Mus musculus: one gene and its partners. The protein of the gene in region 3 interacts with the protein of the main gene of each other region in a biochemical or structural test. Links are inferred from orthologs where the notes say so. Each region holds a gene or a part of one and is shown on either strand. Other genes may lie near its edges. The genes, in order: Rasl11b, Kcna4, Lnx1, Pbk, Numb, Abca1 and Shtn1.

What was found.
Region 1: the proteins of Lnx1 (region 3) and Rasl11b form a complex in vitro, tested with the Homo sapiens proteins (2 studies listed by BioGRID and IntAct, with this or other methods). The link is inferred for Mus musculus from reciprocal best matches to the Homo sapiens genes LNX1 and RASL11B.
Region 2: of the proteins of Lnx1 (region 3) and Kcna4, one has a biochemical effect on the other in vitro, tested with the Homo sapiens proteins (2 studies listed by BioGRID and IntAct, with this or other methods). The link is inferred for Mus musculus from reciprocal best matches to the Homo sapiens genes LNX1 and KCNA4.
Region 4: of the proteins of Lnx1 (region 3) and Pbk, one has a biochemical effect on the other in vitro, tested with the Homo sapiens proteins (2 studies listed by BioGRID and IntAct, with this or other methods). The link is inferred for Mus musculus from reciprocal best matches to the Homo sapiens genes LNX1 and PBK.
Region 5: of the proteins of Lnx1 (region 3) and Numb, one has a biochemical effect on the other in vitro, tested with the Homo sapiens proteins (2 studies listed by BioGRID, with this or other methods). The link is inferred for Mus musculus from reciprocal best matches to the Homo sapiens genes LNX1 and NUMB.
Region 6: of the proteins of Lnx1 (region 3) and Abca1, one has a biochemical effect on the other in vitro, tested with the Homo sapiens proteins (2 studies listed by BioGRID and IntAct, with this or other methods). The link is inferred for Mus musculus from reciprocal best matches to the Homo sapiens genes LNX1 and ABCA1.
Region 7: the proteins of Lnx1 (region 3) and Shtn1 form a complex in vitro, tested with the Homo sapiens proteins (2 studies listed by BioGRID). The link is inferred for Mus musculus from reciprocal best matches to the Homo sapiens genes LNX1 and SHTN1.

The regions. Positions count from the first base shown.
Region 1 is NC_000071.6:74,194,074-74,198,125, reverse strand, and holds the start of Rasl11b (ras-like protein family member 11B), read right to left. Parts: upstream 2,801-4,052; 5' UTR 2,675-2,800; coding exon 2,536-2,674; intron 2,024-2,535; coding exon 1,967-2,023; intron 860-1,966; coding exon 783-859; intron 18-782; coding exon 1-17.
Region 2 is NC_000068.7:107,293,589-107,296,296, reverse strand, and holds part of Kcna4 (potassium voltage-gated channel subfamily A member 4), read right to left. Parts: intron 2,154-2,708; 5' UTR 1,375-2,153; coding exon 1-1,374. UniProt on the Homo sapiens protein: Voltage-gated potassium channel that mediates transmembrane potassium transport in excitable membranes. Forms tetrameric potassium-selective channels through which potassium ions pass in accordance with their electrochemical gradient.
Region 3 is NC_000071.6:74,622,904-74,626,403, forward strand, and holds part of Lnx1 (E3 ubiquitin-protein ligase LNX), read right to left. Parts: intron 782-3,500; coding exon 579-781; intron 1-578.
Region 4 is NC_000080.6:65,812,411-65,815,910, reverse strand, and holds part of Pbk (lymphokine-activated killer T-cell-originated protein kinase), read right to left. Parts: intron 2,946-3,500; coding exon 2,803-2,945; intron 2,105-2,802; coding exon 1,935-2,104; intron 740-1,934; coding exon 610-739; intron 1-609. UniProt on the Homo sapiens protein: Phosphorylates MAP kinase p38. Seems to be active only in mitosis. May also play a role in the activation of lymphoid cells.
Region 5 is NC_000078.6:83,839,544-83,843,554, forward strand, and holds the start of Numb (protein numb homolog), read right to left. Parts: upstream 2,801-4,011; coding exon 2,675-2,800; intron 2,381-2,674; exon of another isoform or gene 2,311-2,380; intron 1-2,310. UniProt on the Homo sapiens protein: Regulates clathrin-mediated receptor endocytosis. Plays a role in the process of neurogenesis.
Region 6 is NC_000070.6:53,079,896-53,083,395, forward strand, and holds part of Abca1 (phospholipid-transporting ATPase ABCA1), read right to left. Parts: intron 2,249-3,500; coding exon 2,027-2,248; intron 1,076-2,026; coding exon 871-1,075; intron 1-870. UniProt on the Homo sapiens protein: Catalyzes the translocation of specific phospholipids from the cytoplasmic to the extracellular/lumenal leaflet of membrane coupled to the hydrolysis of ATP.
Region 7 is NC_000085.6:59,020,570-59,024,069, forward strand, and holds part of Shtn1 (shootin-1), read right to left. Parts: intron 1,754-3,500; coding exon 1,607-1,753; intron 1-1,606. UniProt on the Homo sapiens protein: Involved in the generation of internal asymmetric signals required for neuronal polarization and neurite outgrowth.

The DNA of each region.
Region 1 (4,052 bases), about 430 kb from region 3:
AAGCCATTCTCGTGCACCTGAGGAGAAGAGGGAGAGCAAGGTGAGCAGCTAGCAGTGGGCACGGCACTGAGCTCTGGCCACAGCACATCCCTCAATTCAAAAGAACCCTTCATAGCGATGGATGGCGGGTTACGGGTTGTAAACAAGTTCTATTCCCCACACACTTGGGCTTTCTTAACAATATGTTGATCCAGCTGCTTGGAGGGAATAAATAACAGGGCAGCTCACCACACTCAAGTGGAAAATGGACCTGCAGAGAACTCCACGCAGAGCGACTTTGTAGTTGCACAAAATGGGAAATTAACTGGCTAGACAGTAAGTCTGGGGAAGATAGGAGCTGGAAGCATTTAAACCTGGATAACTGCCCAGTTCAGGACGGGGAAGGGGGGAAAAAATCCTAGCAGAGCTCTTTTGTCTACAGAGAAACTTTCCACAACATAAAAGTGATTCCGGGTGTTGGAGACTGGGCCTGAATATTTGGGTTTTGATGCCAAAGGCACATAAATAAAAACCAAAGGAAGGAAGTACTGCCAATTCTAAGGGCTGGTTTGGTTCCCCCTGCTCCGGTGATTCCCCTCCTACAAGAGGGGCTCCCCTTCTTCTCCCAGCTCCCCAAACTGAACCGGGCCAAGGCTGACCTGCGGTCAGGTACAATTTAACTGTCAAACCACAAGTACCGTCTAGACCTGACTGCCCACATCTCGTGTCCCTTACACTTAAACAAGTGAGCAGTGCCTCAGCCGCCGGTGTCTGCTCTGGCCCTGTCAGCATCAGTGTCTCACCTGGATGCCCGGAGTGTCCTGGACCTGAATAGCCAGCGTTTCTCCTTCTATGTGAACTTGTCTTGTGTAGAGATTACCTATGAAGACAGAGAAAGGAGAGTGTGTTCCTCTTTCATGTGCAGCCTCGGGAAACATTATGGTTTGGGTTTTTGTTTGTTTGTTTGTTTGTTTTTAATGTACCACGACTTGCACCGATACACACAAGAGAAAGATGTGATTTACTTCTAGTTAATGCACTTAATTCAGATCTTGTTTAAAGGCCACGTGCAGTCTTAAGCCCCTGCTAGTAGATTATCAAATTTTATCAAAAGTAGGTCAAAGTTTGTGGGTTTTTAGAAACTTGCTGGTCTAATTTTAACTGAGTTTCCATATTTAGAGTAGTTCCACGGAGGAAAGTTTCTGGCTCAGTATACGCAGGGTTTCTGTTTTTATTTTATATTATCATTCTCTGAACAGTTATATTTTGCCCACAATAGCTTCATAAGCAAACACGGTTAGTAAATGCACAGTTAGCATCCCTCTTAGCATGAATATGTGCCATGATTCTGATCAGCTCTATATCAAAGCAGAAGGCCACCAGGTCTTATCTTGGGACAGCTTATATGGCTCATTTCAACTAAATCCCCAACTGGTACTTAATACAAGTCTACTAATTTAACCATACAGTCTACTTAGTTAAGCAATTTGCTCTCCCCCTGCTAGAATCATAGCAGCTACTTATTTGTCTTTGTTAAGGAAAGAACTTTAGGCTTACAACTCTTCTTTGGCCTTTGCTTTCAAAGGTCGCCCCTGAAAGGCAGCCAGCAGAGGGAGAGGGTGGGGGAGGAGCTTGCAGCTGGGTTTTTTGTTTGGTTGGGTATTTTTTTTTTTTATGACTTTTGCAGGCATGTTTTAAAGGACAAGGCCTTGGAGTACAAACGGTGCTTCCAACTGGGGTCCCTATAGTTAAAACATACCACAGGGAATACTTTCGGGCACTTGATAAAATGATGAATGCGCCAAGAATGGAATGAGGCCAGATGGCAGCTGGGGGGAGGGGGAAGGGGGAGGGGGAGGGGGCGTGCAGAATTGGAAGTAGCAGAATCTTGATGCTAAACACTGTCACTCTGAAGGAAGTGTCCTTAAAGGTACTGAGAAATGAGGGCGGCCATCCCAACAGGGTTGGTCTCCGTACGTTTCCTCACCTGCATTTCGTTCGTAGTCCCCGATGAATCGTTTAGTGAGGAATCGGACCACCAAAGCTGCAATTCAGAAAAGAAAACAGACTGTTAACCCACTAAGTTAGACGGTTCTCCACCCCACCCCCACCTGGAAAACAACTCTTCCAAAGAAAGTCACAGCCGGCCACCGAGGGCTCCTTGACCCTCTACCAGACACAAGGAGGTAGGAGTGAATTACAGCTCTGCCAGCAGGAAGGGTCTTGAGGCCCAGCCCCTCCGCGGAGCCCAGCTGGGCCACACCTAAGCCTTCCAGCAGGCAAACTTCTTCCTAACCTTACGGAACTCCTGGAGGGGTTACAATCACTAGCTCCCCCATTCCGCCCCAGATCCTGCCAAAAGCCCAAAGCCCCAAAGTTCTACTCTGGCCCGAAAGTCGGCGGGACGCTCTGGGCCCCAGTGACCCTCTTCGTTAAAGCAGAGACATGAAGAGGCAGAGGATCCCACTGCAACGCCCACCGTCTCTCAGTTCCAGTCCGAGCGGGGGTCTCCCACGTCCCGCCCCTCCACCAAGCGGGTTCCTCGCATGGACTCACCGGTCTTGCCCACGCCGCTGGCCCCTACCACGGCGATCTTAACGAGCCGGCGGCCCGCAGCCCCCAGGCAGCAGTCGGCAGCGGTGCTGCCTGGGGCGGGGTACTCTGCGATGGTACACATGTTCTGGATGAGGCGCATCGCCGCTACGGCCCGGCTGCACGGAGCGGGGAGGAAAGTCAGGACAGGAGACGGCTCGCGCTGCAAGGAGAGGAGGGTACCCCGTCGGAGGGCGCGCGGGCAGAAACTGGAAAGAACGGGAGAGCGCGACGAGAAGAGAGGCTCGGGGGTTCCGGATCGCGGCTGGGATGGCAGCCGCCGGGGCGCGGGTTTTCTCTGGCCCAGGCCCCGCCTCCATTCCAGCAGCCAATCCCCGAGCGCCCCGCTCGAGGCCCCGCCCACGGCCTGCACTACCAGGCTGCGCCCCCACAGGAGCCGAGAGCGAGTGCGGGGCCCCGTGAGATCCGAGGAAAACAGGGCGGCCGGCGCGAGGGTGGCAACGTGCGGGACCCAGCCGGCTCCCGCTGCGCTAGCACGCGGCCGCACCGGTGCCTGCGGGGTCACGGGGTCTCAGATCCGCGTGGGGGGATCTGGCCGTGTCTGCTGGGTCTCAGGTCCACGTGGGGGGAATCTGTCCTTGCCTTCATAGGAGACCTGGCGTGTCCGCGGGATCTCAGATCCGCGGTGGGTTTAGAAGCACCCACCCTTGTCTGCCAACCTCGCCGCTGGGCCTCCGTAGGTCAGTCCCTAGGCATTCTCTGAATTGGGTCCCAGGTCCCCTAACCTCTCTGACCACTGGCTTCTCCACCTCTGACCCCAAGGAACCTGCTGGGAGCCCCATAGGTCACTGCCCTGTTTGGCCCTGCCCTATGTTCTGCTCGTGCGCTCGACATCTTTGCACTGACTTGGCTACATTCAAAGTATTATCCTGGATTATACATTTTCCCCATCCTTGTATTCCTAAACAAAGGCACCCCTCCGTGACCCAAAATGTGGCGTTTGTCTTTGGGGCAAAATACCTATTTTGTTCTAGTTCTTGCCAACAGTGCAAGCCCACGAGAAGGCACACAACGTGGAAAGCAAGTACCGCACCCCGAGAGGCAAAGCCAGGCTAAAAGTCACTAGAACAAGCTTGCATGGCTAGCCCAGTCACGCCTCCTCCCAGATCTGTGAAAGGTAAGACAAGAAGTCAGTGCAGCTGTGGATTGGACTCACCGGGAGGCAGAGGGGCCCCACGGTTAGCCTAGTCATAAAGGTTAGTTAAAAGTGGCTTGTCGCCAAGGAAGATGAGGAGTCTAGCACTCATAAAAATACCAAGTACCCCCGTGTCCTCATCAGAGAAAATCACAGACAACTGCTGGCCAGATCCCAACTTCAGCAACCTACTTTATCTATCGCCACCAGCATGCCCTTACAACCCTCAGGGCCTTTTATCTTGGTGCCTAAGAGCAAAGCCTGTGGCATTTTGTACACCTTTATTGAAGGTAGAAAAGCAAAAGAAGCTGATTCCAGGCTCAAC
Region 2 (2,708 bases), on a different chromosome or scaffold from region 3:
GAGCTTGAAGATCCGGAATACTCGGACCAGACGAATGATCCTAAGGATGGCAAAGGACATGGCCTGCTGCTGCTGGCCATTGCCACCCCCCTGCTGTTGGGCCAGGTCAGTGCCCAGAGTGATGAAGTAAGGCAAAATGGAGACGATATCAATGATGTTCATGATGTTTTTGAAGAAGAGTGCTTGGCTGGGACAAGCAAAGCATCGAACCACAAACTCAAAGGAAAACCACACAATACACACTGTCTCCACGATGAAGAAAGGGTCATTGAATATTGTGTGCCCTGAGTTCTCCAGGTGGGGTGCCGAGGTGTCATTCAGCAATCTGCTGTGCCCGCCTGCACTGAGGGCCATAATAAGGTCCCTATCATCCCTGAACTCCGGCAAGGTTTCCAGGCAAAATATGACAATAGAGATTAAGATGACCAGGACAGACACAATGGCTATACCCCTGGCAGGGCTAGAACTCTCTGGATATTCAAAGAGAAGCCAAATCTGTTTTTTAAATTCATTTTCTGGCAGAGCCCTGTCCTCCTCTTCTCTCACAAAGCCCTCATCCTCCCGGAACTTGAGCAGGGCTTCCTCTCCCAACTGATAGAACTTCACCTCCTCGGTGAAGATATCAAAGGGGACATTGACTGGTCTCTTCAGGCGGCCTCCTGACTGGTAATAATACAAAATGGCATCAAAGCTGGGTCGGTTCCGATCAAAAAAATACTCATTGCGCAAAGGGTCGAAGTACTGAGTCCTCTTCTCAGGGTCTCCCAACAGAGTTTCTGGAAACTGGGCCAAAGTTTTCATTTGGGTTTCGAAGCGTAGACCAGACACATTTATCACCACACGTTCACAGCAGTCACTATAGCGGACTGAACTGTAGCCGCCACCACCCCCATCATCCTGTGGCAGCAGGTCTGTGTACGAACACCCATCCCCATGGTCTTCTTCACTATAGTAAAACCTTCCCTCCTCCTCCTCCTCCTCTTCCTCCTCCTCGTCTTCCTCTTCCTCGCTTAGCTCCCTCAGGATCTTCTCTTCAGAGCCACTGGGCATCAGGTCTGAGCAATGAGGAAAACTGCTCTGCCTGTGGTGGAGTTTCTTCTTCTCAGTTCGCTGACGCCTCCTCCTTCTACTTCCACGGCTACCTTGAGGATCATGGGAGGAGTAGGCCCCACGTGTCTGATGATGGTGGTGGGGGCCTCCACCAGAACCCCCAGTGCCTTCGACAGCAGCCGTGGCAGCTGCGACAGCAGCAGCTGCAGCTGCCCTGGAGTGAGCGAGTCTCTCCCGCTCTCGGGCCCTGGCCTGGGCTGCATAACCATAAGGCATATGGCTGTTGCACCCTGAGCTCTCGGCACTCACCATCGCCACTTCCATGGTGGTGGTTTGGGGAAATGGCTGCTTCCAGTTGTAAGAGAAGAAGAAAGAAAAATAGGGCAGCTTATTTTCTTACCAAATTAAGGTAAGTTTGGAAGCCTTAAGCAGATTGCTTAGAAGACGTGGGATATTTTCAGTCCAACTTTGCATTTTCTGTTTTTAAATCAGCACAGCCTATGCTCCCTCTTCTCAGAGACTCGGCGTTGCTTTCCAGAGCTTGCCTCGTCTAGACAACAGCCTAGTGTTCCTCAAACATAAGTCATGAAATGATGTGGTCTCCCATACACCTACGTGTTGGGGGGTAGATGTTCAAATCTGGAAGTCTGTCTGGGATGCTGTCCGGTGATGACGCCACAAGACTCAAAGACAGCAAGTATCTGACACTCAGAAGTTGTGCCTAGAAAATGAAATATACTTTTTCTTGCATGGAAATTGGCCAAGGCCCAGTCCATCTAATTTAAATAAAATTCAAATAAGTCTTTAGTCTTAGCACTTGCCTTCTACTGATGGCTTGACCCATGTTAAAATGCGGCTTAAAATATGCCCAGCCATTGCTGCTTAGTCTATGAGGGTGGACTCCCAGACCTTCCCTCTAAGGTCATCCAAGCCTTCATGGACCCACAGACAATGCCAGGTTGTAGATAGAGGCAAAGACCTTGGAAGGTAGAGAAGGTGGTAGACGCAGTTCCAGCAGAGGCAAACTCAACACTGAGGTCTCCATAGAAAGCAGGAAATGAAGAGCATCCTTTGGCTAGAATCATTCACAAGAAGCACTTCACCTGAAGAGGGATGGGAAATAAGCACAGGGGAAAAAAAAAAGAATCAAACCATAGAGAGCAAACAGCCCTTTACTCCACATACACTGCTCTTGTCCTCAGGCAAATCATGAAACACACACCAGGAGACCATAACTTTTCAAGAATACGGGGCAGGCTGCTCTAAAATCTCTCCCACTCAGCATCCACCTTGCTCTCTTCTTTTGTCATTGGTTCAGATCAGTCTGTTTGGTGGCAACTCATTTGTTTAGGTCCTGTCCATTCTCAACCCACACGGTTCTTGCTTTCCTCTGCCCCTTCACCAATGCCAGGTTTAATTCTCAATAGTATCCTCTTCATTCCACAACAGTGATGCTCTGACTTTACAGCTGTTTCCAGTATTCATTTATCTCAAGGAATTCTCCTTAAAATTTTCACTCATGGAATGTTGCTGAATTAAGTACCCTTACATTTTTCTTTTTCTTGGGATTAAAGAAGTGGGGAAATAAAACATTTTTCTTCAGTTTAGACTCCACTACTTGAATGATCATCAATTTCCTAATCATAAAATGTAGACAA
Region 3 (3,500 bases):
TTAAAAGGAAGGCCACAGAAGGATCAAGAAGAGGAAGAGAAGAAAAGTAAGAATTGGAGAAAGAAAAGAGGGACCACCGAAACAAAGTCGAAGGGAAAAAGGCAGAGAAGACAGAAAGGGATACAGTAACAGAGAGAAGAGAGATACAATGATACAAAGAGAAGTGATTATAAATAGAGAGATGGGGGAAGAGTGAAAGATCCAGAAGTGTTATACTAGAACTCTTCATAGGAGATTTACATCAATGTAACTGTGGAAAGAAAGTATCTATCTTCATTTCATTCTATTTATCCTGTTTGTCATCTACCCATCCACTTATCTGCCCGGCTACGCATCCATTCATCCACCCACCAGTCCACTCATCCATCTAAACATCCATTTGCCCATCTACTACAATTGGCTCTGAAGGATTTTATTTATTCATCTATGCACCCACTTATCCACCCATCTTCTCGCCAGTCATCCATCGCTCTTCCCACCTACCCATCCAACCTTTAAGGACTTAAATTATGTGCCACGCACAGCCTACAGCTCACAATCTTGTAGCCTATGGTTACAAGCTCACGCCTCATGGGCACCTTGAGAATGATGTCTCCTGGCAGCAGCCGTCCATCTCTGGCAATCACTCCATCGCGATAAATATGCTGGATGATGATGTGGACCAGCGGCGTCTCGCTGCCCCCCACCAGCCTTATGGAGAGGCTTTCGCTGGGATCCGCTCTGTTGATTTTGATGCTTGTAATTTCACCATCTGGAATCAGGTGAAACAACCTTGGGAAGACTGAAATGGACAGAAACAGTATTTGTTTCAGACATCTACTCCACGGGCATCTCCAGCCACTCTGAATGCCAAGCTAAACTGTTGACAGTTCCCTGTGTGTGGCACCACTTTCCTGCCTTGGTGCCAGCATTCTCTACTGGAATGTTTTTCATCCTGGGCTGAAACCCAGAATTTCCTTCAAGGCATGCACAAAATAATTCCAATTCAACTCTATCCCAATCTCTCTTTTCCTCATTGTCACTAAACACACGATTCCTATAGACTGTTCTCATGGCATCCAGCCTTCCATTACTGCTGTCTGTGTCCATCTCTCATATCACGATCTGGACTCCATAATCTGGCAACTGGCTTTGCTATCAGGCTCATGTAGCTGTCTTAACCTGGCTGTTCCCGATGTTAATTTGACAGACTGTTTCAATTAATGTTTAAACTACTCTGATTACATTGTGGAGGCGGCACTTTCTGGCTGTCCCATGGTTTTGTGCACAGATCTCTCTACACACTGGAGCCTCCGGCTGATGCTTACTGCTTGAATAGGAACGAACTAATGAACTGATGTCTTCAGGGAGTGAACTGTGATTTCATTACTTTCTTATCCAGGAACAAAAATAGAATCTGCTCTTCTGTCCTCTGCTGAGGTCATTTAGGAAGATCTGAGACTCTGCTTTTCAGGCCCCAGTAGTCATCAGCCCTCTGGCAGATACTGCTGTCAATCACAGCAGTCAAAAGACCTGGTTGACAGGCACGGAGAGGCCAAGGTCATGGTCTTACAGCCGTCTCCTTAAGACGTGTTCCTCATCTACCTGGATCACTGACCTCAGTGCTAAAGAGAAGATCAAAGATTGAGTGAGCCACTGTTGCCTAACCTTAGTATTTGACCTGAGTCAGCTTTCTCCAGGAGTCACGTCTTAGCTCCCTCCTTGTGGCTGTGGCAGACACAGAGTAGCTGTCTAGGTCACTCTGAGGCTACACAGTGACAGACAGTCCTTTATGAATGTGTGTGTGTGTGCAGAAAGGAAGCTGTGGAGTAATATGGCCTCAGAGTCGGTGAGGAATACCAGGCTTCTGAGGGTTAGCACATTTATGGCCTCAATAGTTCCCCAGGAATCATATGTTCACAGCCAGGTCAAAATCCACAGGGACAGGCCCTAGAGATCAAGAACTAACTGGCAGAAGCACTGACTGGCACTGTTTTCTAGTTCAGTTGGAACAGAAGTATTTAGAGGGGACACCAACTGCTGAGAACAAGTCACGCCTAGGCTAACTGGGAAGTGGCTCCTTTTGTGTAGCTCAGACACTTAGGATGCAGAGGAAGAGACATTCATGCCCAGCCTCACACTCTTAAATGATGTCCCTTAGAGCCAGACCAATGAGATCCTTGTGGCTTTGAAGGGTTAAAAACGTTTTTAAACTGCCAAAATTGTCCTAGACAGGACCTGAAAGAATTCGATCAAAATTTTTTGTCTAGAGATTGTAGGATTTAAGAATATTCTCTGTACATTGAACTAGGACATTGGGACTCTTGTCTTCAGTCCTCACTGACTGACACATGTGGATTCTAATCCCTGTTTCTGAGTGAAGAGTTAGATTGGCAGTGGGAAGGAGATGGAGGATGCAGGTTGGCCAGTAGCTGGGAGGCATTCGAAGCCACACAGGCACGTGAGGAAAGAGCATGGTGAGCAAGTGGTGGTGGTGGTGGTGGTGGGAGCGGCAGAGCCAAGCCAGGAGTCTCAGATGCTGTGCATGAATTTTCCAAAGCACAGTAAATAAAACACCTGGGACTTTAACCTTCAACCCCAAAGACAGTTTTGGAAGGTGTTAAAAGAGCCAGAAGCATCAAGTTAAAATCCTATGCTTGCACACACACACACTCTCTCTCTCTCTCTCAGTGTGTGTGTGTGTGTGTGTGTGTGTGTGTGGTTTTGTGTGTGTGACTTTGGACTACTTGCCTAACCTCTCTGGATCACTCTCCTTAGCTGTGAACTAGGATTGACAGTCTTTTTTTTTTTTTTTTTTTTTTTTTTTTTTTTTTGAGACAGGGTTTCTCTATATAGCCCTGGCTGTCCTGGAACTCACTTTGTAGACCAGGCCAGCCTCGAACTCAGAAATCCACCTGCCTCTGCCTCCCGAGTGCAGGGATTAAAGGCGTGTGCCACCACACAGTCTTTATCACTTCTCATTCTTTTGACACACACACGACTCTTTAGAGCATTTGCTGGTACGTGAAGAGCTGTTGTGACTTTCCATGTTATTGTTTTACTATAGAGTTTCATACGAACCAGATTGCTGCACACTTGCACGCCCACTACTCTTAAGAGGCAAACGTAGGAGGATCACGGCAAGTTTGAGGTCAGCCTGATCTACACAGTAAGTTCTAAGGCTAGCCAAGGCTACAACGTGAGGGCCTGTCTCAGAAAACAAATGTTGATTTAACCTAAAGGCTTCAATATGAAATGAACAGAATGTCTTTTCAGATCCACTTATATTGGGAAACATGTACCATATATGCACACTAAGATATGACAGCTTTCTCTTGTGGCCCCAAAGGTCAATACTGTCGTCATTTGGAACAAGTTGAGTGACTTCTGTGTGTCTTGGTATATGCTCCTGAAAAATAGGTCGACAGTGGAGCATCTTGAGAGCCACACCAGTGAGATACCAGTGACCTGGAAATGTGCCGTGGTCATGGGGTGTCTGAGCACATAGAACACTTAGAGCA
Region 4 (3,500 bases), on a different chromosome or scaffold from region 3:
ATAAATCAAATGCACTGGACAGTTTTTAAAGTGTATTAGTTTTTCTGTATTTCATTACTATAATCTCCATTTTACACAAATAAGGATAGAACCAAAACAAAATGCTTATACTCACTTCCAAACAATAAGGGAGAAAAACTAGCAGTTTATTTAATCAAAGTTTATCTTCAAAATTCTATTTTGAGGCTTTCAATGAAATTACAAGTAGAGAAGAAACATTTGAAGGGGAAAGGGAAGATGCAATAGTGGATCCTGATTAACGTGATTAGATAAGAATGCCTAGAAGCTGGGGAAGCTCTAGCCTATTGGGTGTGTCTTGCCCAAAGTTATTCAGTTAAAATCCATGCTAATAAGGGCCAGTGCGGGCACAGGCTGAAGACTGGGAGGCCTGTGAGCCCAACTGACATATTTAAAACAAGTCAAAGACAAAAAATATACACACTACCAAGAAGTCAATAATTGACCATGTGGCAAGGGAAGGAGCTGAGGACTCAGGAGGCAAAACAATGAAAAGACACTATTAGTTTCCAAAAATAGTTCATTTAAACCATGAAGGTTTATTATGTTTTACAATGCAAAATTGTATAAATTTAAAACAATCCTACTTACCAGTCATATTTTCATCCAATGGCAGAGAGACTCCTACATCACAGATTTTAATTGTTTCAAAATCACCTTTAATTACAACATTTGAAGACTTTATGTCTCCATGAAGCAGCTTCTTTTCTTGGTGCAGGTACTAAAATTGGAAAAAGCAATCAAATACATGAACAGAAAAATTAATAAAAACTCCTTCAATAAAACAATGACTTGAAGCCAGGCAGAGGCAGGCGGATTTCTGAGTTCAAGGCCAGCCTGGTCTACAGAGAAGTTCCAGGACAGCCAGGGCTACACAGAGAAACCCTGATTCAAAAAACCAAAATAACACCAAAAAAAAAAATACAATGATTTGAATTCCCTTTGTAAACTAGACGTAATTGTCCATTTAGATGACCTGCCATGTCATCTAAAAATTTTCAGGATGTTTGAATTCTCAAAGCCCATAAAAATTTCAATCCAGAAGATTTCCCAACACTCCCAATTTTACTTGAGGTCAATAGCTCAACTTTGATGTAATACAAGAAAAGCAGGAGACATGGAGCCACCATAATTCACAAGCAGAAGCAAAACTGTAATCCAAAGCTATATTATGTTTTATACATTAACTTCTTTTGGGGTTGCAAATAATTAGTCACATTTTGAACAGTGCTGCACAATAGCTATCTGTTCACCTATCAGCATTTGAGCCTAACTTTGAAATGAGAGGCCATTCTTTCTGTGATCTGCTCTTACACAAGAGCTTATGCTTATTTCAATGCTGCCTATCATGTGGTAAGGAGGCCCAATATGGTTACGCTGTAATTTATTCACTTCATTATATATACATACTTAAAGTCATTAGTAAGTAATTCAGATGTTTCTATCCTTTGGCTGTTCTGGAACTCACTATGTAGACCATGCTGGCCTTGAACTCAGATCTGCCTGCCTCTGCTGGAAATTAAAGGTGTGTACCACCATGCCCAGCTCTATCCTATCTAAAAATGTACTACAATCTGCTCCATAAATCAATTTCCTATGAAACCTTAACATGTAATCCTAACATCACTATCATTACACTGTGAGTAGTTCTCTAACGTCACTATTACCAGTGTTTAGTTAACATAATTTGGGGGGCGGGGGTTCTGAGACAGAGTTTCTCTGTAGCCCTGCCCTCAAAGAGCCGCCTTGCCTCTGCATCCTGCGTGCTGGGATTAAAGGCGTGTGCCACCACCACCTCAGTTATGTATATATTTCTTCCCTTATCTTCTATCTAAAACCACAGCAACATAGGTACAACACATGTTTAATTTCTTCATAGTTCACCCAAGCTGTTTAAAATACAGTGACACAGTTACCTTTAGCCCTCTGGCCATGTGCAAAGCAACTCTGAGAATTACAGCTGCTGGAAAAGGACTTCCACTGTCTTTGTTCCGCTCTTCTATTAAGTCATTCAGAGACTTTTCACCTCCATACTCCATAGCAAGGCACAGACTACCATCACTGGCTTCAGTAAAAGCACGATATCCTTAAGAAAACATGGCATTTTTCTATTAAACTCTCCATTAATATAACACGGATCTGGACTAGCACAATGAAGCAGCTACTATGTACAAAGCCCAAATAATTCAAATGCCTTCAGGTGTGTCTAGTAGCACAGATCAAAACACTTTTATTATGCTTCTGTAAACAGAAGGATTCCACCAGCCCCATGAGTACCAAAAATGCAAAGTGAAAATAGTGCAAGAACCCATCATCTAAATGAACATGACTGGTCTACACCAGGACCATTCTACATTCCTGAAATCTTCACAGGACCAGCACCAAAACAAATACTTCCAACTCAACTCCATGAAGGTTAAATACATATGCTTAAAGATGTAGAATATGTGAATTTTAAATATTTTTTATTTATTTTATGAGTATTTTGCCTGTATGTACACCGCATGCAAGCCTGTTGCCAGTGGAAGCCAAGATACTATATCCCCTGTGGATAGTTGTAAGTCACCATGTGGGTGCCAAGAACTGAACCTGAGTCCTCTGCAAGCATGGCAGGTCCTCTTACCTGATAATCCATCTCTCCAGGCCCTTATATGAATTTTTACCTTAGACAACTTACATTAACTCAAGTCCCAACAATATGTGGACCCAACGTTATTAGCAAAACCAGTAGCTACACAGAACATTGCTCTACCACATACTGCCACAAAGTATATGCAGACTTACCTATAATGTTTGGGTGATTAAGGTTTTTTAAAATCTTAGCTTCATCAGTTAGTCTCTTCTGATACACAGTTCGATAATGATCATCGCATAAAAGACTTATCTTTTTCACGGCCCAAGGAGAATGAGACAACCCTCTTGGAGATCTAAAATATACATATGTAAACTTAAAGATATAAAATGAATAAAAAAACACCAACACTCAAATTTTGCTCCATAGAAATAGGTTTTTTAAAGTATATAAAATTCTTTAGGTCATCAACACCTGTTACATTTCTGTGTCAAGATTTAACCAGATGCCCTGAAAAGCACCTGATGTCTACACTCTGAGAAGGGATCAAAGGACACAAATAAGTATGGGGGATTAGGAACTTATCAAAATACAATTAAACCTCAGAACAACTACACTGTTTTCTAACATTTCTACCCTGGCATGTCAGCCTACTACTTAATTAACATGTATCTATATGCATCAGAGATGAGTTATGGCATGCTATGATTAATATTAAAGAAACTTAAAGGCAGTTTCTATATAAACTATTCTTTCATACATACGTTTTGATCAAATCTACTTTCCACTCCCTCCCCTCCAGGTCCTCTTCTATTCCACCACCACTAACCTCATGTGTTCTTTATTTTTGAAGCCCGCTGAGTCCACTTAGTGCATGGGTATAGGACTTCCTACTGGAGCATGGGTAGCC
Region 5 (4,011 bases), on a different chromosome or scaffold from region 3:
AAAGTCAAAATCCTTAAGATGGAATTGGGCTTGCTAGTAGAGGTTATCCTGATCTATGTAGCAAGACTCTGTATCTCCCAACTTCCACCCCCAAAATGTTCTAGGCAAATAATTTTTCAGTGTTTAAGGACGGTAATGAGATCATTTGTAGGAACAATACTTCTAGCTAGTAGGCAAGGGCCCAAGAATGAATATATGACACATCTAATATTGGGCACTTGTAATATAGAAAAAGCTTACTCAGAGTATCTTTTACTGACTCTAATTCTATTTTAAATATGCACACATGCAGTGACTTTCACACAAATATAACTAAGTCAATCAAGAGAAGACTGTTAAAAAAAAAAAGATTAAAAAAAAGGGGGGAGGGGCTGGAGAGATGGCTCAGCGGTTAAGAGCACTAACTGCTCTTCCAGAGGTCCTGAGTTCAAATCCCAGCAACAGTGTACTCATATAAATATAATAAATAAATCTAAAAAAAAAGAGAGAAGACTGTACATGCTAGATACAAATTTTAGCAAAATTTACTTCTTCATATACATAATTGAATATAAATAGTAATTTAGAATTTATAAAGAGTATTGTATCAAAAAATGCAGCTAGTAGGTGTGATATTATTTGAAAGTACTGAACTACTGAATCTACCTTCTACCTACCTGCTTTCATGGCTCCCTGCTCCTCTGGTTCTATACAAGGTGGTTTTCTCTGTGCCCCTTACTATGCCAGGTGCCTCTTGCTGAAGAGCCACTCCACTGTTGCTCCCTTGGCTACATTCTGTTTCCTTCAATACCTGAAATGCTTATTTTCTGAATTTCTTTGGGTGTTTTCTGAAATGACATTTTGCCCCCTAATGAGGACTTCCATAACCAAAATATTTTAAACCGTATCAACCCCATTTATTTCTTTCATCCACAATTCCTTTCTGGTATAGCAGATATTGTTTTCTCACACTCTCGCATACACTACCATGAACAACACTAGGTAGAGATCCTGTCTGTGCTGCTCACTGCACTCCTGGTTCCTAGAACAATACTTGGTAGACAGCAGACATTCAGCAATTATCTGTCAAACATATCAATGAATCAATAATATCAAAGAGAAGAAACTGTAGGATATTCCTTAGATTGGCATTAAATTTAATGCCTAATTAATAATGAAAACTTTTAGAACAAGCTCAATATATAGGAGATATAATTACTATTTATAGAAGAGAATGTAAACATTAGTGAAGAAAACATATGTGAAGAAAATGAAATAAAACGTGAAACATGTAAAGAAAATGAAGTAAAAATATCTGATATAAATTTGAAAATAAGTGAAAGTATTTCTTTTTTTTATGATGGAACATCAAGATAATCATCTAGCATTGATGGAACAAGAAATTATAAGTACAGAAGACAAGAGCAGAACTAATGGTGGGAAGAGTTTAAAAGTGAAGACAAGAAGAAGCAAACAGGGCTGGAGAGCTGGCTCAGCAGTTAAGAGCACTGACTGTTCTTCCGAAGGTCCTGAGTTCAAATCTCAGCAACCACATGGTGGCTCACAACCATCTGTAATGACATCTGACCCCCTCTACTAGTGTGTCTGAAGACAGCTACAGTGTGCTTACATATAAATAATAAATATTCAGAAAAAAATAGAAGAAGCAGCAAACAAGCCAGTTAGCCCTGAATGGGAGTGGGGAGGAGAGGCGCTTCTTTTGACTTTTCTTTTGTTGGAGAGTGCTGGAAATAAACCCCTACCTCACTGAAAATGATTTAATTCTTGGTAACTGAGGATCTGTAGACGTCTCAGGACTTATGTTCTCATTAGAAGTGTTCTTACTTGGCCAGACCTGAGAGTGGAGGCTTCTGGGAAACCTCACTTACTCAGGAGCTGAGGAAGGACGATCACAAGTTCAAAGCCTACCTAAGGGCTACAGAGTAAGTTCAAGGACAGCCTAGATAACTTAGTGAGATCCCTTCTCAAGGAAGTAAAAAGAAGGCAGGGATGTAGCCCAGTGGTAGTGGGCTTGCCAAGCACACTCAAGGCCCATAGTGAGCTCCTAGGAGTCCCACCAACCCACACACAAACTGTTCTCACTTATACTTGTTCCAGATTATGTAGCACACAGCCTTATTTAAATAACTTAAACACAAAAAGAAAAATCACTAACTGCACAATGTATTTTTTTCTTATTTAATTCCATCACTGAAGCAGAATACGATTTTGGAAGGCTCCTTCACTAGCGTGAGTCATAGGATTACATATTCTATGGGCTATCAGTTTTTTGTTTGGTTTGCTTTTATGTTTTTGTTTATTTCCCCACAGAGAACCACAAAGATATGTGTTATAGTCTCCCCTCCCCCAGCCTGAAACCTGCTTGCTCAGGGGTGGAGCTTCCCGCTCAATCTTTCTGCCACGCCTACTGCTGGAACCTGCCGCTTTGCTGTTCTGAAGGCATCACGTGATCACCCTGCTACTGGATTATTTGGCGGGAATTGGGCCCCTCCCCCTTCCTTTATAACTGAGTGCCGAAATAGTAAAAATTGAACCTTGAGCAGAGAGCTTTGTCTGGGTTCCTTCCTTATCTCCCGAAGCCCAGCCCCTCTTCTCTTCCAGGTTTCCAAAATGCCTTTCCAGGCTAGAACCCAGGTTGTGATCTACTGGCCAGACACAACAATGTGTGTTTTACCTTAACTGGGAAGCTACACTTTCCAGTGCGGACTCCTTCTTCATCTGTCTGCCACTGATGTGGACGGCTGGCCTCTGGGACATAAACGTCTTTCTTTCTCCTGAAGCTTTGCCGTAGTTTGTTCATGTTAACTTTTACAACCTGAAGACACAGTGAAGAAATACCAAAGTTACTTCTTACACAAACTTCAGATGACCATTTTAGTACAAAACCCACCCCAAACCCTGAGGGCCCACACGAGGGTTATAGCTTAGTATGTTAGCATACTTCCTCTCGGAGTGACAGTGAGTCTAAAACTGCTCTCAGTCCGCTTTTTAAAGACAACTACAGTCCCCTCCAATGACAACTGCCCCAACAAGGGCGGCGTTTAACTTCTCACCTGCTTGATACCTCTCAAATGCCGGGATTACAGCCATGCCCTACTGTGCCTCAGTTTGGTGCTAAGGACTGAACTAATATTTTGTGCCTGCCAGGCACACATTTTGCCAACTGAGTTAGTTACATGCCCAACTCCCCATTCTTTCTTCCTGTGGCCTTATCTACCAATGTTACCTCTTTAATATCTAATTCACTCCATGCCCTTTGTCCCATGATTCATTCATTCTCAGACTCTTCCCCACCCCCTTCATTTGTAGCTATCTTTATTACTACTGGTAGACAAAAGAAAGATTCAAGTCTTCCTGATTTGATGGATATTAGGTAAGAGCCAGGAGAGCTCATGGTGCTTGGGTGAACAGTCACTCTTTTTCTAGTCTGTAGGGCAAGCGATTAAAACTACAGCCCCGCACATCCCAGGCAGGCAAGCACTCTGTGTCTTGGAGCCTTTCCTGTCACTTTTCTCTCTTCCTCTCTGCTCACTCCTCATGGAACCTGGTGGGGATGGAACCCAAAGGCAAAGCCACCTCCCCCAAATCCCTGATTTTTCTTTGTGGTACCTTTGCTTAATTACTGTCTCAAACTAAAACATGTCTTTGTTTACATTACCTACCTATTCCCAGTGAGGTAAAGTCTGCAAGGACAGGATACTGTCCTGTTCCCTGTTTATGCCTGCCTTCCTGGAACTGATCAGTAGAGGAGTTGCTCACATATACTTACTGAATGAATGCTGTTCAACCAACACTCACGATTAATAAACCATGCATGCCTGAGGTTTGGGTCACAATCTAGCTTATGTAGTAACTGGGGCACCCTGTAAGCTTTACAATGAGACAGACCTGAGTGAATGCTGTGCTGCCAGAGATGGTGATGTGACTGATGCAAGTAAACGGAAAGTTCTAATCCTTAGTTTATATGTCTGTCAGATATGGTAGTAACTGTTAATTCTCAGGGTCACTGTG
Region 6 (3,500 bases), on a different chromosome or scaffold from region 3:
CAGCAACCTCATTTTAGAGATGAGCAAACTGAAGGACAAGTAGCCCTATCCAAGGTCACTTACCCCAAAAAATAAGGACTCAAGAGTTTGAATCTCAGAATATACATGCAAATTGCATGGTCAATGGAGGAAGTTCAGATACGGGTTTAAAAAACATTTCAAATGGGTTTCCTTGGAGGAGATTCAGAGGGTGAAAATGAGTCCTCCCCTAAAATCTGATCTCAGACAGAAATGTATCCTAAAGAGGGTTCCTGTTCTGTTGTACTTGGCAAAGAAGGGTAAGAAAGCATCAAAATTAATTTTTGGTGAATACTAATTTCCCTTAAGCAATAGGCAAGGGCTAAGACCCAATATATTATATTACTTATAACCTGTAGTTAAGAGACAGATGGTCTCCTAGGGCTTCCTCTTCTGGAGACATAGTCCTAAGAACCCAGTCAGTACTGAGAGGAACCTGCCAGACTCTGACCCAGTATAGCCCAGCTGAGGTCATCTCCAAGCACTGACACTTAACAGACCCATGACCTTAGGCAAGTCCCTCAAACTCTCAGTTAGCTCTCTCTTTTAGAAACTGTTTACCTTAGCAAACAGCCCAGAGTAACCTTCCGAACCAGAGTCTGTATAAAGTACTTTGCTCAGCACCTGGCACACTGGGCTCAAGAGATGTGTAGCACAATGCCAGTAACATGCATGCTTTCAACACAAGTGCCTTTCCTTAGACTATTTGTTTTTCATAAGCTAAAAGCCCAAGCCAATTCCCAGGGCGCTCCCTCGTCCTTCAGCAACTGCAACACAAAGAAAGGAAGAACCTACAGGCCGAAAGTTGCTCTGCCCCTCAGTCAGCCAAAGCAGTATGGAAGCCTGGGGTACCTGGAAAGACGGCTTCGATGTACCATGTCATCACGCCATAGAGAAAGGTGTCAAAGAGCATCATGGACACTGCAGTGGTGAGATTGAAGCCGTCCTCCTCCACCGGGCTCTCAAAGAGATTGTCCCATTGGACCCCGATACCTTGCTCCTCGAAAAGGGCGAAATACTCACAGCCGAATCCAAAAGCCACAGGAGACAGCAGGCTCTGAGAGAAAGAGGCAAAAGGAACTGGTCTACATCCTTGCCTCTCTCATTTTTCTCTTCTGATGTAAATTCCACCTTGAGAAGTTTGACTTTGCAAATTACATCAATTATAAGGCACGTAAATATTCTCCTAGAGTCCCTTTGGAGAAGCGGACTCACTTGCAGCATAGAAAATGATTTCATTTATAAGCACTCATTATGCAGACACGTTTCAGAAATGTATGCACGAGAGCAGGTGAGACCTTAGAACTGTATGCTTCCCAAGACATTACAAGGCTCAACGATCCTGTTCCCCCCGTCCAGCTGACATTCATCAAGGACTTTTTTCACTGATCAGTCATTGAATATTCAGGATCAGAGAAGCCGCTTTAAGGCATCATATCTAGGAGACTCAAGCTTTCAGCACTTGGAGCATCCTGAGAGCCTAATATCGTTATCAGTGACCCAGCAGGGCAGATAGTGAGTGGCCTTTATTGGTATTCTCACTTGCTTAAAGACTACACACCTACATTTCACAAAAGACTAAAATGTCCTGGTCAGGGATTTGTGGGAGGGTAAGTCATGTTTGGTTTTTTTCAGTCTGGAAAATATTTCCCAAGTCAAACAACACAATGGATAAAAGAAAGACAAGGGACAAGAATGAACCATTTGTGGTCTCAAGCTGTCCATGGACATGACCTTGCTGTGAGCTTTTATGGCCAAAGAGCTAGAAGTTAAGGGGTGGACATGGTACCTACTGCCTAAACTAGATCCATTTCTGAATGTCATTTATCTCCAACCAGTTCAAGGCACAATCTGATGATCTCTGACAAAAACCAAATCCAACCTAGTATTTACTCTAGGGGCAAAGGAGAAACAACTTAGCCAGAGGGGAGACAGGATTATCCAACACCCTGGGGAGGTGGAGGGGCACCAGGACTACAACCTCTGCAGAGAGATCAGAGTTACTTACAGCAAAGATCTTGATGGAGAAGCCCACATAGTCCTGCCAGGCTACGCACAGCACATAGGGCAGGTACAGCGTGAAGTAGATGATGCCCCCACAGGCTGCTGCCAGGTTGGCACGGGAGAAGAGCGTGCTAATGAGGAAGCACTGTAGGATGGTCACCATGGCAAACACAGACAGGAAGACGAACACCACGCTGGGGTCACTATAGGGCAGCAGGTTTCCTAACTGGAGAGGAAGAGTCTGGATAAACGTGTAGCCTTGGCAAGCCCGGCGGCTCACATACGTGATCTTAATGCTGGTTTTGACATATAATTCTTTCAGAGCTAACGCAGGGAAACCCTTGTGCTTGACTTTCTGATGAGGACATGAAGCCCATGTGAAATAACTTACTGGAGAGACTATGCATGAAAAATCACGGCAGAATTATGGTTAAGGACAAAGTCCAGGACTTTCGACTTGATCTTAGTGGATAATTTTGTTCTCCGTCTCTCACAGAGAGCAAGGAATTTGGCTTCTCCTTGTCTAAGGACAACTATTGCCTCTAAGAAAAAAGTCGTGTGAGACAACAGCCTACGCATCCTTTCTCTCCAAAAGCCTAGGAAAAAGGCCAGGCAACCTGAACTTTCCCCTGGTAAACACAGAGTCTTCATTCATCCCAAGTTCTGTGGATTCATCCTCTCATCCCAAGTTCTGAGCTCTGAGCTCATCGGTAGTCACTGTGGACACTGAACCAGGCCCTGTCAACACCCGGCTGACTTAGTCCGTTCCCACACACTGGCCACAGGATCCCTACCCTTGTCACAAGGCTTAGGTCCTTGCCCTCGGATACCAGAGCATGAGAAAAGAGTTTGTTTCAGAACAACATGCCAATAAATCTTGATTCTGCCGTCCCTGGGTATTTTAGTGAGGCTCTGACTTTCCCTGAGCACTCAATGGGTTATTGTAGGAAGGCTCCGCTGACGGAGTTCACAGCATGTCCTCTGACCGGTGCCTGGCATCAGTGAGCGCTCATATGTAATATATAGTAGCTGCTATTAGGACAAATGTTAGATTCTCCTGCTTTGCTCTCTTGCTTTCTTAGAAAACACTAACTTTTATAAGATGCATCTTTGTATGAAGTAACTATTGAAGCAAAAACGCTTAAGAGCAGATTTGTGTATGAGGCAAAAACCTCACTGCCCAGACTCAACTTTAAGGCAAGCAGGGGAAGAGGGGGGCTTACTTGACTATAGGTAAAAGACATCCAGATGTTAGGACCTCTGTTGTCATAGCTAGGAGAGCCAACAGGCCCTGGAACACCCTTTCCCTGGTGAGTCCCATGAGCCCCCGTCCAGTGACTATGAGGGAAATTCTTGGACAAGCTGTATGTTCTCCAGAACATCCCACTGGGCTGTTGAATCATGGCTCAACTTCTCCCTCTGCATGACCCAGCGCTCCACCCATCATACTAATCCCTAATAAATATCCATATTCCAAA
Region 7 (3,500 bases), on a different chromosome or scaffold from region 3:
ATAGTTCCACCCACAATGACCTCTGCTCCTTTGCCAGGCAAGAACATAGAAAACAACTCATTCCTAGAGTCCAGCTCAATTTAGTGAGCTCTGAGCATGTATTATCTACTAGCCAAGTTAACAACAAATATAATCTGTCTTCTTAGGACCAAAAGTTAGATTTTAACATAAGCTAAACACACATGCACATACATGTACACATCTACATACATGTACACTGCACATGTGTGCACATGCATGTACACATGTACACAAACTCAAACACTCTTTCTTTCTGGAAAGGTGATTCCTACATGTGGAAGCAGAAAAAGAAATTCTTCATCTTTGGCCTTGGGGAGCAGAGGCTTTCTGGAAACCTGCCAACACTTCCCACAGAGGAAGCGGAAGTCCAGCCTGACCTTACTGCAAGATGTAACAAAACTGGAGATGTGTCGGGACCTTTGCTCTGATGTGAGGACCTATAAATATTGATGTCATCACTCTGAGGTGGCACCTGTGAGTCTCTCTTCCACCTCTTCCCTTTCCTCTCCCCTATCACAAGGGCACAGAGGGACCTGGGCTGCATTAACTGGAAACTGAATAAAGAGCTAAGAAGCCCTACAGATATCTATGTAAGTCTGCATGGTTAGAAATTGTAACTAAGAGAGAAATGACTACTGACAGGTTTTCCTTTCCTTCCTTCTCAGAATAAGGTCAATGTCCCTTCAACAAGCTCTGTGAGACCAATACATTCTCCTAAGTGTATTCAGTCATCTCTGCAAACCATACCATTTTCAAAGAGACTTGAGGCTACAATCCTTGTTTTTGCTTTTTCAAACTCATTTTAAAGACTCCATGTCAGTAGGCTATAAACTTTAGCTGAGCAGTACACAAAATTTACTTGGTAACTATTGTTTTCTCAAAGATGTTTAGGACTTAAAAAGCAAGGCAAAATATGAACCTCTAGAAGGCCACAGTTTTAATGTGTGATTGTTTTAATGTGTGATTGTGCAGACTGTGTGTGTGTGTGTGTGTGTGTGTGTGTGAAGTATGGTGTGGGTATGTGTAGTATTTGCATGCATGTGGGGGGTGTGCCTGTGTGTACATGTGCATACATGTATGGTGTGTGCACATATATGCATACATGCATGTGTATGTACATGTGTGTGGTATATGTAGTGAGGCATGGGTATGTGTGGTGTGTGCATGCATGTGGGTATGTGTGCCTGTGTGTACATGTGTGTGCATATATGTTGTGCAGACATGTGTGTATACATGCATGTGTCTGCATGTGTATATGTGGTATGTGTAGTGTGGTGTGGGTATGTATGGTGTAAGTATGTGTGGTATGTGCATACATGTGGGGGGTGTGCCTGTGTGTACATGTGTGTGCATGTATGTTGTGTACACATGTGAGTATTCATGCATGTGTATGTATGTGTATATGTGGTGTGTGTAGTATGGTGTGGGTATGAATGCTGTGGTTATGTGTGGTGTGTGCATACAAGTGGGTGTATGTGCCTGTGTGTACATGTGTGTGCATGTATGCTGTATACACACATGTATATGCATGCATGTGTATGTACATGTGTGTGTGTGTCTACAGCTGCAGAATAAAAACAGTTACCTTTTTCTGATGCTGGATCCTCTCTTCTTCAAGCTGCTGGATAAGTTTTGCGTTTTCGTCTAAAGCTTTCAAAAGCTGCTGGTCAGGAAGGGAGCTCTGCAGCAGAAGGTGGCTTTGTCTCTTCAGTTTGTTTTGTTCAATGAACATCTGTGAAAGTCAATTACAAAAATGTATATACCAACCCCAACCATGCAGCTCCCCTGTGCAGATTGAATGGCAGTGGGTGGAGCTCTTGAGGACACTGAAGGAAATGCCTGAGGTAGGAGCTCCTGAGCAGCCACAATGCAGTCCCCAACTTCCCATGAACTTCAAGACCAAAGTCATTACCCCAAGCAAGGTGTGGATACAGCAATCCAGCTATACACCTTGATTTTAAATGCTCTCCTACTGGCTTAAAATACATCAATACTACAAGTGACATGTCTGTGCCCCCCACCCAGGGGGGGGGTTCTCTTTATGCTTTACTTTCGCCGACTTCTCTACTATGGCTAGGAAACCTTCACTAACCACTGTGCAACATGGCAGATGTCACCCTGTATCCAGTTAACACTGCTAATACATGGTAATAGATACATGACCATCACATTGTCCTGATAAGGAAGCCAAGGCTCAGCGAGAACAAGGATCCCCAAGGATGCTCAGGTATCAAGGACAGAGCTTAGGCTCATTTGCAAGCCAAGCCTCTTGACCACCCGACTCACCCCCTCTGCTCTTTATTAGACTGTTTTAGACTGGTTAGTTTCCCCCAGTGATGAAACAGTTCACAAGAGGCGTTCCAAGAAGAGGAGACAATATTAACATCTATTGAACATTTTATCGAGTTGCTTATGAACAGGACTTGCTAATTCTCTCACGCTGACAAAATTGACGGCAGCATTATTTTCTATTTGTCTGTTATTTATTTTCTCCATTGTCACACCAAGTGGGATGGTGGACAATTCAAAGCATGATCTATTTCACAGACTAGAAGTCTCAGACCAGCAAAGAGTTACACTGTCAGGATCTTACTGCATCTTATATTGACACTGTAGCTTAACTGTATGTAAGGTGTGCACAGTAAGATGGCTCAACATAGAGCACACATGCAACCTCATCTGCTGTATAACATGAATGTCAGCAAATGTAACTCAGGACCAAATAAAATTTCTACAAACCTCTGTGTGAAAAGACTAGAACTATAGTGATTTACACAGTCTGCAAGCTTAGTCCTGGTCAATCAAACTCACAACAAATTGTATAATACAAACACATTCATGTTTTCTTTCCAATGTCCCAGAAGGAGAAAAAAAATGGCTAGAAGGGGGTTAAGGTTGGTGGCCCCTCAGTCCAGCCAATCAGTGAGTTCCAGGTTCAATGAGAGACCCTGTCTCAAAAACCAAGGTGGAAACATACCCAGTGTTGACCTGTGGCCTCCAAACATGTATAAGCTGCACACAGATGTACCTCCGCCCCTGCACACACACAATGACTGACTGGGCTTTTATTCTTTTTCTGTGCAGAGAAGCCTAGGAAGCAGCTATAGTGCTGTGCAAAATTCAGATATGCACCAGCTCAGAACAGGTAGAACACACAGTTTTAAAAGATCTACTTTTATTATTTATGTGTGCAAGTGTGTCTCTGTGTGTGCATGTATATGTCTACAAGGGTATCTGCACAGGGTGAAAAGGGGGAACATAGTTCCTTGGGGTTAAAGTCACACCGATTGTTTTGAGACACCTGATGTGGGTTCTGGAAACTGAACTCAAGTCCTCTGGAAGAGTAGAAAGTGCTCTTAACTGCTGAGCCACCTCTCCAGCCTGGTGAAACACAATCTGCATAGTACATGGAATCCATACTCCTTCAGCATCACCTCCTCTTTGGAAGAGTTAAAGGCACAGAGACAGCCACATGGCCA